Rhinolophus ferrumequinum: one gene and its partner. The protein of the gene in region 1 binds, or shares a complex with, the protein of each later gene. Links are inferred from orthologs where the notes say so. Each region holds a gene or a part of one and is shown on either strand. Other genes may lie near its edges.

The links.
Region 2: RBM10 (region 1) and MYSM1 share a complex: the UniProt entries of both Homo sapiens proteins name them as parts of the large chromatin remodeling complex. The link is inferred for Rhinolophus ferrumequinum from reciprocal best matches to the Homo sapiens genes RBM10 and MYSM1.

The regions. Positions count from the first base shown.
Region 1 is NC_046284.1:86,742,752-86,750,685, reverse strand, and holds the start of RBM10 (RNA-binding protein 10), read left to right. Parts: upstream 1-4,466; 5' UTR 4,467-4,779; coding exon 4,780-4,849; intron 4,850-6,681; coding exon 6,682-6,823; intron 6,824-7,934. Other genes in the region: NDUFB11 (NADH dehydrogenase [ubiquinone] 1 beta subcomplex subunit 11, mitochondrial), read right to left, coding at 1,816-1,942, 2,114-2,244, 3,788-3,994. UniProt on the Homo sapiens protein: Binds to ssRNA containing the consensus sequence 5'-AGGUAA-3'. May be involved in post-transcriptional processing, most probably in mRNA splicing. Binds to RNA homopolymers, with a preference for poly(G) and poly(U) and little for poly(A).
Region 2 is NC_046292.1:42,464,393-42,472,258, forward strand, and holds the start of MYSM1 (deubiquitinase MYSM1), read right to left. Parts: upstream 3,218-7,866; 5' UTR 3,082-3,217; coding exon 2,939-3,081; intron 1-2,938. UniProt on the Homo sapiens protein: Metalloprotease with deubiquitinase activity that plays important regulator roles in hematopoietic stem cell function, blood cell production and immune response.

The DNA of each region.
Region 1 (7,934 bases):
AGTGGAGACCGGAAGGTGGGCATGATTTGCTAAAGCTGATCACCTGTCTACCTTATGACTTAGCAATTCCATTCCTTGGTATATGCCCGAGAAATGAGTGCATATATATATATCCATCAAAAGATGTATATAAGAATGTTTACAGAATTATTCGTTTCTTTTTAATATATATTTTTAAATTTTATTGGGTAACTGTGTATTTTCCAGGAACTCCGAGTCAAGTCATTGTCCTTCAATCCAGTTGTGGAGGGCGCAGCTCAGCTCCAGTCCAGTCGTCGTTTTCAACCTAGTTGCAGGGGGCGCAGCCCACCATCCCATGCGGGAATTGAACTGGTGACCTTGTTGTTAAGAGCTCACGTTCCAACCGAGCCATCCGGCTGCCCACTGGCAGCTCAGTGGCAGCTCGTTGTCTTCAATCTAGTTGTGGAGGGCGCAGCTCACCGGCCCATGTGGGAATCGAACTGGCAACCCTGTTAAGAGCTCGCGCTCTAACCAACTGAGCCATCCGGCCGCCCAGAAGAATTATTCTTAATAGCCCCAAACAGAAAACTACCGAAATGCCCATCAACATTGGAACAAATGAAGTGTGATCTGTTCATACAATGGAAAAGAGCACAGCTATGAGGATGGACAAACCACTGATCACGTAAGAACGTGGACCTGTCTCATACCACCAAGCTGAATGAAAGAAGCCAGGTACTAAGTGAAATGAGTCAGACTGAGAAAGACTAATACCATATGCTCTCACTTATATGTGGAATCTAAAGAACAGAATAAACGAGCAAACGAAACAGAAATAGACTCAGAGATACAGAGGAAAACCTGATGGTTGCTAGATGGGAGGGAGTAGGGATGGGGGAGAAGCTGAAGGGATTAGGAAGTACAGACTGGTAGTCAGAAAATAGTCACGGGGATGTGAAATACAGTGTGGGGAATGTAGTCAGGAATGTTGTAAAGATCATGTAAGGTGCCAGATGGGCACTGGACTTACCATGGGGGTCACGTCATAGACATGTAGATGCCTGACCAATGCGCTATACACCTGAAGCTGAACTAGAATAATACTGAATGTCAACTAGAACTAACTATATAGGTATATATAGTCACGGGATGTGAAGTACAACATAGGGAAGATACTAGATGGTATTGTAACAGCTACGTACGGTGTCAGACGGGTAGTCGATTGGGGAGGATTATCACTTTGTGGGGTGTAAATGTCTAACTATTGCATTGTTTTGCACACCTGAAACTAATAAAAAAATATATTTAAAAAAGTCAGGTACAAAAATGTATGGATGCACTCGTATGAAGTTTCAAACCAGACGAAACTAACCTATGTTGTTACAAGTCGAGAGAGGGGTTACCCTTGCGGTAGGGAGGGTGGACCTGAAGGGAGCTTTCCAGAGAGGCCACCTGGAAGAAGACTGAAGTGCCAGGCATGAGTGAAGACGCCGTCTTGGATGTCCATCCCAGTAGAGCTTTCAGATGACTCAGTACCAGCCACTGTCTGACCTCAAGAACCACTTAGCTGAGCACAGTCAATCACAGGACCATGAAAGATGACACTAAATTGTCATATTAAGCCACTAAGTTTTCGGGTATTTGTTACACAGCAATAGATAATTGGAACACCCAGAAAAGGTGGTGGTGGCCCTTTTAAGGCCTGACACCCCCACTCCCACATCCCCAGTACAACAAAATCAACACCAGCCAATCAGACTTTCAGTCCCTTTAATTAGGTGCTCTGAGGAGAAGGCAGAATGGCAGGCAGGGGGTGGAGGAGGTGGTGTTTCTTGAGCCCCACTCAGCAACCAGTCAGTCCTCATCCTCCGGCAGCTGGATCTTGCTGGGGTCAAAGCAGTTGGATTCCATGATGGGGAGACCATTGGCCTCTCGGTATTTCACAAGCCTCTCAGCTTCCCGGCGGGCCCACTCCTGCATCCTGGAGGCAGCAGCGTGCGAGGGAGACATGAGGGAGCCTCACTGGACACCAATCCCCACCTTAGCTCCCCATTCCTCAATGGGGTAGGACAGGATTCCTGGCAGAATCCCCTTCAACCTCCACCCCTGCCTCTGCCCACACCCATCCCATTCTCTTAGACACCCCATGGACCTGTAGTCAGGCAGATAAGCCACAAAGGTGCTGCCAAGGACCAAGACGATGGAGAAGCCAAAGAAGAAGACGACGCGCATGTTCCAGACGTCCACAACAGGATCCTTGTCGTAGCCATGGGAGTCTGGGTTCTGCGGAAGGAGAAATCATTGAGGTTTCCTGCTGCTCCACAAAGCCTTATGCTGGCCCTGTATAAGCTGGCTTCTAATTGGACCAATCTCCTCTCCATCCCTAAATTCCTCTCATTCTGTTCTTGGGACTTGTCAAGCCCTTCCCACCACAGGACCTTTGCACTAGTTGTTCCCTCTGCCTGGAAAGCCTTTCCCCCCAGATTTCATGGCTGGATCTGCCTCTTCATTCCAAGTTTTGGCTTCATCATCACTTCCTTTAGGAGGCATTCCCTAGTCACCTTGTCTATTAAGTTGAACTATGGGAAATTGCCATTTTCATAGGTCAAAAATGGTTGAATATTGGCAATTTCCTATGGTTCAACCTAATAAAATTACTCCCTAACCCCAAGTCACTCTCAATCCACTTATCTTGCTTAACATTCTTTCTAGCATTTATTAGTTTATCAAAGTAGCATGCTCCTAGATCGCCTGTATCACATTATGTTATATGATCCATTACATACTCTACATTACTATTGTCAAATATTTTACATATTTATTTTCTGTGTTCTCCACTATCATATAAGAGCAAGGGCTTTATATGATTTCCACGCTGCTGAACCCCTAGGGCCCTGAACTGTGCCTGGCACGCAGGAGGCCCTCAATACATATTTACAGAATGAATGAATGAATGAGTATCCTATATATCCAAGCCCCTCAATCAGAGGTTAGTATCGATGAATTACCTCTTATGTGCCAGGCCTTTTCACATATACAAACTTCACAATATCCCAGTGAGATGGAAAGTGGCAATAATAAACACCTTCTAATGCTGAGTACTTACTAAGTGCCAGATGCTGTTCGGAGCATTTTAACTCATTTAATTACACAAGGCAGGTGTAATATTTTATTTTTTTAGAAGGTGTCCTAATACTTTGCCCATTTTACAAAGAAACTGAGGCACCAAGGGGTTAAGTTACTTGCCCAAGGTCACTCAGGTGAGTAACTGCCAGTGCCTGTATTCTAGCCCAGGTATTCTGATTTCAGAGGCTCTGCTATCAAGAGAGCACAACAGACGTGGTAGATCCAAGTTCAAATACCGGTTCTGACACACATTCAGTTATGCGAACTTGGGCAAGCCACTCCCCATCTCTGTGCTTCAATTTTCTCGTCTGTTCAATGGGTTTAGTAAGAGTACCTACTTCGAAATAGGGTTGTTTTGAGGATTTAGATGAATTAATGTATGTCAAGTGTTTAGAACACTGACACCAAAAAAAGTCGTACCAGTGTTTAGTATTATTATTATACTGTATTGCTTCTAAGTGTTTTGAGCACTGCCCATTTCAGGTTTGGTACTTGTTTGCAACATAAGGCCAATCTAATCTCTGGCCCTGAACAGAAGATATCACCAGACAAAGGAGGAAAAGAAACTAGGCAAAATTCCCAAGTCTTCAAGGATTTCACCAGCTGCACAATCCTCAGCCGCCTAGCAACGTCCTCTATGGCGCCCCATCCGCTGGTCCCCGACTGACCCTTTTGGCGTCCCGTTTCCCCTCCCTCTCACCTTCTCATAGAGGTTTTCGTCCTCTACATCTGGGTCCTCCTGCCAGCGCATAGTAGGTTCTGGTGCCCGCTTTCCCACCACAGCGGACGGGGCGATCACAGCCCTGGAGGAGCTGGATTCCCAGCGAAGCCAAGCAGCCGGGCGCCCTCGCGTCGCGGCTGCTGCCAAAAGGCGGCGAGCGCACAAACCTAACAGCCCAGCCGCCATGACAGGTGGTTCTGCAGGCTCTCAGGGGCGGGGACGGAAGTGCGACTCTGCGCAGCTGCAGTTGACCCCAGCGCGATAGTTGTCGCTCTGCCCCCACCGCACTAAATAGGCCCCGAGTCTGGATTTTTTTCAAGCGAGTGAGGCGCTGAGCAGCCCTCTTTGTCTCCCTCTGTCATGGCCTTAAGGGAGCAACCATTTTCCAATCCTCTCGATGGAGCTATGGCAGTTCTGCCTGAGTGGTCAGCTCCTACCCTTGCTGAGAAGAAAGCAGTGACATTTGGGTGGATGCAGTTCCCAGCCAAACGCACAGGAACTTCCCTTGCCCTCTTGGAGAAGAGGCGGAGCTTCCGTTTGTCTTTCATCTTCGAAGGAAGCCAAGCTTCTAAAAAGCGGGCCTCGCCAGATTGGCCAATAGCTACTCCTTTTCTCGACTTGTGGGCGTTCGCACAGGGAATGGGGAGGTAGCAGATGCTGGCCAATCAGAGCGGGTCGGGGCTGGCCGATGGCATACGGTGACCAATAGACGCGACCAGCCTGAGCGCGCTCCCTCGGTAGGTGGATGGTGGTCGAAGCGCCGGTTCCCTGCTCTTGGTCGCCATTTTGTGCTGCTGATTGCGGCCGACGGGGAGTAGGTGGCAGTTAGTTTTCCGGGGAGGGCAGTGCGATTGGCGCTTCTCCCCTCCTCCCTCCCCCGCCTTTCAGTTTCCAGCCTCGGACTTGGTTGTCGCGCGGACCGGCTCCAGCTGAGTTGGGAGGGTTGGTGGCGGTGGCAGCGGGCCGAGGTGATGTCAGGGAGCCCTCCCTTGACAGCCCGGGCCGAAAAGGTGAGCGTCGACGCTGGTCGTGGGGGCGGAGGTAAGGGGCTGGGGGCGGGGGGTGGTGCGTAGAAGAGGAGAGAGGGCGGACTGCGGGCTGCAACTGAGGGATGCGTGCACTGTCTGAGCCCGGGATGGGTTGTCTTTTTAAAAAAAATTTTCCCCCTTTTGAGAGCCGTGGCGCGTGCGCGATCGGGACACTGGATAGGTGCACGCGGGTTGGGGGAAGGGAGGGACGGATGGGAGTGGGATACTGTGGCTTACTGTGCCTGAGACACCGAATTTTATCCGTGGGGAGGCGAGTGTCTGCGGCTATGGTTTTTATCCACAGGAGAGGGGCTGTGCTGTCTGTTCTGTGTGACTTTGTTACTTTCCTGTTCGTGGGGGTGTTCTGTGGCTCGGGTCCTTAGTCTTGGAAGGAGGAGTAAGAACGTTTGTATGACCCTGGTCTTTATCCTTGGAGTGTGTGTCTAACTCTGGTCCCTATCCATGGGGAGAGGTCCTTATCCATAGGGAGTCTTCTTGCGACTGGCCCTAACCGACTTAACTGGGTAGGGAGGGAATGCAAGGAATGTGTATGACTTATTGCCCGTTCTTTGGGAAGGGGGTTCCTATCTGTGATTCTGACGTTCATCTATTGAAAAGGGGCTTCGGGGTGTGTTTATGACCCATACTTATTGTGGGTTCCTGTCTGTGATTTTGGCCCAGAGTTATTTGGGGCGCGTGTCTGTGACTTTGGTCCCTATCTGTTGTGGATACCAATGTGTGACTGGCCCCTTTGCCAGAGTCTACTGAGGGTTTTGTATCAGCTGTTATCCGCTGGGGCCCCTGGTTGTTCTAACTCTTACCCATCTGGGAGCAGGTAACTCTGGTTCCCTGTAGCTTGAGGAGGAAGAGAAAATTGGTGTGTGTGTATAAACGGAGGAAAGGTGTGGTGGTAACTTAGTGTGGGGCAGATGCTGTTGTTGCCTGGCCTTGCCTGATTCCTGTTCAGAGGGCGAGACCTGAGGATTCTGGGATACTGTGTGGCGACCCCTGGCCAAGTCATGTGGCTTGGGAATTCCTTAGTTCTCATGGTAGCCCTGAGGGTTAGGTGAAATGACTGCCCTTGCATCCCAACGGAATAGGACAATGGTTTGGAAAAGCCTCTGAAAGGGCTCCTTTTGCTCTGGGGAGAAAGCTGCCTTGGGACCTGGCTGCTCATAAGAGACAGGGTTCAGGGCTGAGCCAGTTGCCGTGTGAGGCCCAAAGCTGTGTTGGCCAGGAGCCCAGGGAGGCGGCAGCTGTCTCATTGCCAAGTTAGCCCCTTCACCCCCTAAGCCTTTCATGGTCTCCTGCTGTCTTATAGGGGGCAGCCAGCATCTTGTTGGGAGGATGAAATCACACCTTGGGGGTCCATGGAAGGAGACTGGTGGGTGCCTGGGACCCTTTTATGAAGTCTTTCCTCTATGCCTAATGTGCCCAATCTGGAACAAGTCATTCAGCACCGAGAACTCCCCCTGGGCAGGTAGCTCCGGGCTTGAACTTGTCTACCAGTTTCAGATGGCAACGCCCTGATCACAGAATGGGTGGCACCACCAGTTCTCTCTGCAAGATGCTCCCTGTCTGCTGAAGGCCTTGCTCTTTCTATTAGGGCAGTGGACTCTAATCTCACATTTGTATGGGAAGGAAAGGAGCTGGCCAAGTACTGGGGGGGTGGGCGGGGGGGGGAGGAGCAGCTGCCTTCCCACTCTGGTCCTCAGGAGCACTAGGAATTGGGAAACAACGTCCTCAGGCTAAGGGACAGCAGAGAGCCTTAACAAGGAGCGTTTCTCAAGGAGGCCCTCTCTGCCCCAACTGCTTTGACCCCTTTTTTCCTTCCTCTCTCCCCAGAGTCCCTGCAGGAGGCATCACCCAGGCTGGCAGATCATGGTGGCAGCTGTGGGGGTGGCTGGGAAGTGAAACGGAGCCAGCGGCTGAGGAGGGGCCCCAGCAGCCCCCGAAGGCCCTATCAGGATATGGAGTATGAAAGACGGTGAGTTACCCACTCCCACCCCCCTCAAGCAGCCGAGGCTTGTCCCCATCTCAGAACTGCTCCAGGAGGGTGCTAGGAAAGGGCTTCCAGGCAGAGCGAACAGTGCAGTAGATGATTGGTTTCTTTTCAGCAGACATTTACTTGGCACCTGTTGTGAGCCAGGACCTGTGTGCTAGGCTCTCGGAGAGCTGTGATGAAGGGGACAGATAAGATTGCAGCCTTCTCCTTACTCAGGGTCTCACAAGGCGGGCCACACAGTTTACAGGTGATTCCAAAACAGCTGGATGGGTGCCACGGCTGGTTGTGAGAGTGGGAAAGGATTAAAGAGAAAGGGGAGAATAGAGGCTGATGCCCAGGTTTCCAATTTGGGGGACCCTGGTAGGTATATGGTGCCATTCACCAAGGTCCAGACAGCTACTGCAAGAGGAGAGGCAGAGACGGGTAGTGGGTTGTAAGTGCCTGTGGATTCTCAGGAGAGGTGTGCACTATAGCTTTGGGTTTAAGGGATGGAAGGGAGTGGTACCTTCAGAGTTAGGAATTTGCCAGGCCAAGTGTGGGGCAAGCCAGGTCAGATAGTGGGAGATTTCAGGGGCAGGATGGGCTGAAGTGGGCGTGATGCTTGTCTTGGAATGGGACACTCTTGAGCACTTATTTTTAAATTCTGGTCGAACAAGAAACAGTTGGGACACTGGATAAAATACAGAGATTCCAGACCATACCCTCACCATCAACTGGTGGATCTCCCCAGTTGATTCTAATGTTGGTGATCTGTTCCTGACATTTTAGGATTACATAGGAAAGCAGACCTAACTCTCCCAGAAAGCCTCTATTAAGAGTCAGTAGATTTTGTAAAGTCAGGGAAGAAGTAATTTTTGTAATGTCTTACAAAGGGTTTCTTCTACCTCCAGGCCCTTTTTAAAATGTAGAATTATAATACTTTGTTTTCTGAAAAGTGAGCCCAAATTTGAGCTGTTGTCATAATCTAGTGTTATTCAGTCTTGACCTTCTTTAAAAATGTCTTTTGAAAGGCATTCAATTTGGGATGGTATTCACTAGAAGTACCCTGTGGCAGTTTCTGAGTTTGAGTAAGTGACATACTTGCTTCAGACTT
Region 2 (7,866 bases), on another chromosome or scaffold:
TATAATTAAATTTTACTTTTGTATGTCCTGAAGTTAAAAAGTTTCCTAGTTAAGTTGTAGACTTTTCCCAGACCTACTCTAGTGGTGAGAATTTTGTACCTCTTAAGACTACAAAAACCTATATACCGCTTTATATTTTTGAACCTTCAATTAGTCCAACAGTGGTTATAATAAATTATGGGATTAACAGATTATCTACAATAAACTAAAAGCAATAATGTTTCTCAACTGTTGATGGCAAAAAGGTTTTAATTCAAATGTCAATTCTGACTTGACAGGATCTACCAGGAACGCAAAATAAAGGATTCTTAGACTCATATCAGCAGAAGGAAACCTTTGTTTAACTAACTAGACCTGCCAAGGGTGCAGGAGGTGGGACTAGAATCACTTCAAGTTTACTTCAGAAATCTTTTTACATAGTATTCCTCAGTAAGAATTAGCAACATCCACACCGCTGGTGTATGCATCAAGACACCTACCTGGACATCCACAGGTACCACCAATTAATGTGTTTAAACCTGAGCTCACTTTCCTCTCAAATATGCTCCTCTTCCATCGTTCCCTATCTCAGTCTATGGCATCTTCATCCCCTTAAAAGCCCAAGCCAGAAATCTGAGCCTGTCCTTATTTCCTCACAATGCACATTCAATTTGTTGCCAATTCTGTTGCTTCTCTCTTTTTCAAATCCAGTTCTTACACAATATCCACACTGACCAGAGGGCCTGTACTTTCAGACCTTATACTTTTCCCTGGGTAAGTGCGAGGGATAAAGCTGAGGAGCCATCCACCTTCCCTCCTTTTTCTTTTCCCACTTATCTCCATTTGAAATATATATAGGAGGTTTATTGTCTGTCTTACCTAATAAAGAATGTTTGGTTCTATTAGAGCAAGGGTTTAAGTTTTGGTAACTGCTTGGTATACAAAAGGTGCTCAATCAATATTTGTTGAATGATTGAATGACTGAAGTAGGTGAGGCATGGATCACACAGATCTCTAGGAGTTAAGGAATGAATGTTTTATCAAGAAGTCAATTGGGAATTGAAAGGAATAACACAATCAGAGACGGATGTAAGAAAGGCGGCTCTAACTTCAGGGAAGTATAGAAGGGGCCAAAGAGACAAGGAACAGTTATGAAGGAGTGATTATATAAATACTAGAAAAAGGTGACAGTAATTTAGACCAAGGGCACAAGCAACAGGAAGAAGTGAACACATCTGAGAGTATACTTAGAGTCAACAGACCCTTAATAACTGATAGGACAGAAAGAGTAGAAGGAAAAAGTCAAGGAAAAGTGTACATGTAGGTCTGTGCCTTGTGTGACTGAGTAGTTGGCGCCATTTATTGAACTGGGAACCTAGAGAGGCACGTTTGGTGGAGAAAATTTCTAAGCTCAGACTGAGGGGCTTGTGGAACCACCAAGAGCATATAGTTTCGGAGTGTTGGATAAACAGATCCGAAGCTCAGGAAAAGAGATTTGGGTTGGCAACATAGCTGCGTCCTACACAGCTAGACCGAGAAACCACGGCTTGAACCGGAGAGGGAGGGGGGTGGCGGAAAAAAGAAAAAAAAAGATTAATTTCATCTACTAATGTGAACAATGATGGTTATTAAAGGTTCCCTACTCATCTGTAGAGCTTTGGACTGATTTGCCTAACGATTTGGGAGAGAATAACTATGAATTTAATTACTCCGCACATGTTTCCAATGCTTTAGAATTCACAAAAACTTTAAACCTCTTATGTTAGTCCCTCATGGGCAGGGTCAGTACTGTTGTCCACAATTTACAGAAACCCCAATGTTAGCTTGGATCATATGAAATTGCCATTTTACAGGTCAAAACGTTCTAAGACTGGCGCTTTCACATGGTTCAACACAGTAGATGGAGTTCTAATGAAGTTGTTCCCAGTTATGAGCAGCACAGCTGGCTGAGTTTAGTATGGAGGTCTTTTGATTCCTCATCCGTCTTGGCCTCTTCCACTATTAAAGGGAGACTCTGGAGGTACATTTTTAAAATGGTATGCATCAATTTCTATTTCAGACAGCAAAGAGTCAAAGGGTTAGATCTCAAGCTGGATGGTGCCGTTTAAAACGACACTGGCCTATTATGCAGAAATTGGTGTTAAATTCATCGTGACCCCTCACTGAGTTCTCACCATACCATCCTCGAGGGTAACAGAACAGTCAAGAACACGACAGTTACCGAGCACCTAACATATGCTAAAACACACCCAACAATTATATTTCATTGGATCCTCACCGGACTCGTACAAGGTACATTTCATGATTTGCCCGTTTACACATGAGCTGTCTGAGGCGGAGACAAGTTTAACGTCTGGCCTGAGGTCACACTGCTAGACACTGGCAGGGCCCGCCAATGCAGGAGGAGAACCCCGAGCTGTCCAGCTCCGAAGTCCTACCCCTTTCCCTTAAGTCAAGCTGCCTCTCAGGAACTTTTTCACAACTATCCCTACGTGGAAGAGGAAACCTGCGGCCAGTCGGACTGAAACGCCCAAGGTCACACGGCTTGCCAAGCAAGGAACAAGGATCCCTGACCTCGGATCTCGTCCAGGGGCCGCCCTTGTCGGAGTTACTGTCGGGCGGGGGTGAGGAGGAGGATTCTGGCGAAATTGGGGGGTGGAGGGAGTGGCAGAAGGAATTGTTCGGAAGAGTGCCTTGCGCTAGGCGAACTCGGAGCCCTCACGGCATCCAGATAAAAGGTGCGACAGCCGTCCGACACTCGCTCGGGGTCCCCGCCCGCTGGGCTCAGGAGTGGCCGGCTGGCCCGATGGGCGCGGCCCCTCACCGGCCGCTAGGAGACCCTGGCGCCGCGGTTTTCTTCCGCTCCCCTGGCCCTTGACCGACGCGCCGCCATTCTGCGGCACTCTCCTCGCACCCGCCCCCCTCCGCGTCCCGGCGAGACCCGGTCCCTGTGCCTCACCCTGGCTGTGCTGCCGCGGCCACCACGTCCCCTTCGATATCCACATCCGCCTCTTCAGCCGCCATGATGGGACCTGACCCCATCCGTCCTCCCGAGAGATCCCGCGAGAGGTGGATGGTCGGGGGTGGGGCCGCATGCGTCATCGGGCGGAATTGAAGTCTCGTCCAGCGCTGCGCCTGGGGACGCTGGGCTTCCGGAGAAACGATGCCCCCTGCGGCCGGGGGGTGGGTCTTTTTGACTTTTGTTGACGTTTAAAGACGTTGGGAGGTGGCCCAGGCTTGGGTTTTGAAGAGGTTGTGCTCTTGGATAAATTCTTTGGCACTCACTTCTCTCATTTGTCTAATAGGGATAGTAATAAATATCTTCCTGGAGTGTTGAAAAAGTGAAGCCAGACGTGCTTTAAACAGTGAAGGTGACTACAATGAAGGACCTTTTACCGACTGGTCTGCTTTTCGGTTTTTTTTTCTTCTCTTTTTTTTTTTTTAAAGAAAACGTTAGTGCTGAACAAGTTCTGTTTTAAAATTCAAAAAACATTTAAGAATATAACTTATGATTGCATATTTTATGTTGCACAGGTCTTTACAATTAATTAAAAAGTCACTCTCGTGACCATTGATCTTTACAATAACCCAGTCTATTGGAGGACTGGTATCAACAGTTTAACTTTACAGATGGGAAACTGAGAGTCAGAAAGCTGAAATGACTGTCAAAGGACACACAGCTGGTCAAAAACAAAGCTGGGATGAGAATCCAGGTTTTTTGACTCTTTACGGACTGCTCACCTTATACAAATTATGTTGTTAGGAACTGTGAAAGATAAACACCATTTCCAAGAATTTATGTCTTCTCAAGAAATTAGATATTGGCCTTATGTATTCTTCTACCTTCTACCTCACTCACATTACTGTAACAGTTTCTTCACTTGCCTGCCTCTAACACAGGACTGTGACTTCTTTAAGGACAAAGGCTGTCTCTGCGAGTCCTTATACTACCAACATTCAGCCTGGTGTCTGACACATAGTAGGTGCTTAAAATTAATATTTAACTGATGAATGAATCAATCAATTAATGGAATGAATTCACTTCCCACACTATTCTTAATTTGTTTCGTCTCACTTTTGTTCGTGCTCAGGGATAAGATGAGCTGTACTATAAATGTGATGGCAGAAGATGGAGAGAAAGATTTGTAAAGAGGGAGATCCAGGGCTCAAAAACTGAATATTGTCCCATCCTTAGGCCACTCTGGGAGTGCTGCTTCTGTTGTTTAAGGGCTGATCCAATGATAAGTCCCAATGGTAACTGGAAAGCCTGGCACAGAGTAGGAATTCTAAGATGTTTGTTGAATTTGGTTTAAAGCAAGGTTAGAAAGATGTACGTGGCCAGATAGTCAAAAGAAAATAAAGAATAGAGTTGCCTTTCATTGATCTTTATGTAGCAGGCTGAGATGGAACCCTGGTCGTGCTGTCTGCATGTACATGATATCAAATGCCTCCTAGACAATAACACAAAATATCATGTGAACAGTGTCTCTTGCAACTCTATACTGGATGAAGGCTTTCAGCTCCAGTGCCAGCATCAGTAGACATTAAAACATATGTGGAAGGAAGGAAAAGCCTGCACAGAATTTAAATATGCCCCGAGACCTTTAGACTAGTCTGAACCCTTTACAAACATATCCCACACAATGCTCCCGCTTAGTTGGCTTACAAGGGTCAAGGCCCAACCCGCCTGACAGGATAAGATTATAACCTTACAGTCAAATGAACTCCTGAGGCCTGGTCTATTTAACATTTCCTGTTCTAGAGGTCTGCGGCTCTGCGACTTGTTTAAAGACCCACTTTCTCACCAAGCAGTTTGGAAGCAGAATTCAGAATTCATATTTCATAATTCCTTGTTGTACTCCTCCTGTGCTGTATACTGGGGAAATGGCATTGAACAAGACAAACGTAGTCTCTGCCCCATAAAGTCTATCAGATATGCAATTTCAAGATGATATAATAATTTCTACGATAGAGGAGTTACAGGCAGTTGTGGGAGTACAAAGGAGGAGCACTTATCCCAGGAAGAACCTTCTCCTGTTTCACATTTATGAGGATGATATTGATTAGGCAAAATTTGAGAGCAATGCTCCAGACTCTGGGGAATACAAAATAGAAGACCTGTTCCCTAAATTGAAGAAAGAACCAACGGAAAAACATTGGAAGGAATAGCGCAGTGCCTGGTACTCACACAGAGCCCGGAATAGTGCCTATTCCTTCTGGCCAGACTGGGAAAACTGCACAATTCCTGGGGCATTGGGTAGATAACTCAGAAGGGTACTGTCTAAGCAGTTGAAAATAATTAGCTCTAGGTGGAGCACTGCGCTGGTACTGCCGAACAAATCTTAAATACAATATCTGAAAGGATAAAACTGTTTCCATGTAAACTTAACTGCATCTCCACGTCTCCTCCCGAAAACACTCAAGAGTATTTACAGGAATACAAAAATATCCAGCACCCAGCAAGACAAAATTCACAATGAGTGATGTCCAATTTACCAGGCATGCAAAGAAGTAGGAAAATATGACCCATAATAAGGAAAATCAATCAGTCCATTGAAACCCACCAAGTACTGCTATGGATGTTAAAATAAGCACATTAAACAGTTATTATAACTGTATTCTATGTGTTCAAAAAGTTAAGTGGACACATGAAAAATATTTAAAGAATGAAACTGAATTTCTAGAGATAAAAACTATAATGCCTGAAATGAAAAAATACACTGGGTTGGATTAATGGAAAATTAGACATGACAGAAGGAAGGATTTGTGAACTTAAACATGCAATGAAAGAACTATACAAAATGAAACACACAGAGAAATTTAAAAATTTTAGAAATAGAAAAGCAATGAGCTGTAGGACAACTTCAAGCTTCCTAATATATGTGCAATAGAGTTCTGGAAAGTAAGGGATAGGGATCAGGAAAAAAACATTTGAAGAAATAATGATTGAAAAATTTTCCAGCTTTGAGAAAAACTATAAACTCATAGATCTAAGAAACTCGAGGAACTCCAGACAGAAGAAACATAAAGAAAATTACATTAAGGCCCATCAAAATCATATTGCTCAAAAATGGTGATAAAGAGAGAAACTCTCCAGAGAATAAAGGCATGTTACCTACAGAGGGAAAAAATAAAAATCACAACAAAATTCTTGTTGGAAACAATGACAACAAGAAAATGTTAAATCAATATCTGTAATGACTGAAAGAAAAAAAGTCAGTGCAGTCAGAGAATTGAATACCTAGTAAAAATTTCTTTCAAAAATGGAGGCCAAAAGATGTCTTTTTAAGATATAAAATCTGAAGGAACTCATCATCAACCTATTTTTACTACAAGAAATGTTAAAGGACATCCTTCAGGGAGAGGGAAATGGTATCAGGTAGGAAAAAGAAAGAGTGCAGGGAATGGTAACTACTAGTACATGGTAAATATGTAAGTTTTTTTCTTAGTATTTAAATCTTGTTAAAAGATTATTAACTGTTTAAACAAATATAATAACAATGTATTGTGAGCTTTATAATATACGTATAAATTAAATGTATGACAACAATAATACAAAGTCCCGAAAAGGAGAAATGCAAGTATATTATTGTCAGATCATTATACTATACACGAAGTGGTATAACTATACTATACATGAAGTGGCAATTGAATACATTATCACTGTGATCTATTGAAGACGTACAATATGAACCCTAAAGTAACCCCTAAAGTAATAAAACCAAGTTTGAATGTTAATGAAAATTTATGCGTATATTACTTGTACTATTTTTTTTTAAAGCTATAAAAGTAGGTTTGCTACCTTGCTAAATTACGTAGAACTAGGAACTAAGTATTAATGGAGCAGGAATTCATACCAAAGCCAGCTTCAAAGCTTGTGTTGTTTTTCCCACACCAGACTGTCTCTCTTGTTTATATATGTATCAAATATGAATGTATTCAGTTCTTAGGGTTACAGATAATTGACCCTCAAGGACTGTAAATAAAGAATGTCAGGTTGTCTTCAAAGGTAAGTGGTGAGATCAGCTCATCAGAGAGCAGTGATATCCAAGTAAACTTAAAGAAAAGGAAGGACATTCAGGCCCAAATGAATTCATACATCTAAGTTCACAGTAGTAAATGCTGTCAGTACCTTTCCAAACAATGTCTAAGAAGAAAGAAGCTGGAATATTACACAGGTGTCCAGTTCTAGTATGGACAGAGCAAGAACGCAATATTTTTCCATCCTGTTAGCCAGACCACCTATATACCATGATAAGGTAAGTACCATGAGAGGAAGGACTTTGTTTTATTCATTGCTTTATTCCCATGGCCCATAACACTGCTGGCTGCACAGCAGGGTCTCAACAAACATTTGTTGACTAAATGGTCACAAAAGGCCATGACTAATGGCATGAAGCCATTACATTGGAAACACACTTAACTCTCCTTGGTCTGACTCCATACTCAGAAAGCAACCTTCAGGTTTTGTGAGTTATATTCCCACAGAAACAAGAGAATGGACTGACCATACTGATGTGAGTTTTATAGACACTTCTCAATGCAGTCACAATTCTCAATGCAAGGAACAACTTGACAGACTATTGGCCACATCAGTCTTGCAACCCTTTCAGGTAGTGTGAGTCAAGTTCTTGGGATCTGACCACTCTGCACATTGAGAGGATAAGCCAGTTTATAGACATTTAAGTGTGCTCCAGGCAGCTTTTTACCTGTCCCAGGCAGTCTTCCCACATATCTCCTCACACCACTTTTTGCTAATTTTGTACAAAGAACAAAGGACCAAATGACCAAATTTAACTGAGATATCTCTACAGTTTCATGGTATGTTAAAAGGGAAGTTTTTAGGTGATCATATTTCTCCCATCAAAATGAACTTTTATATTCCCT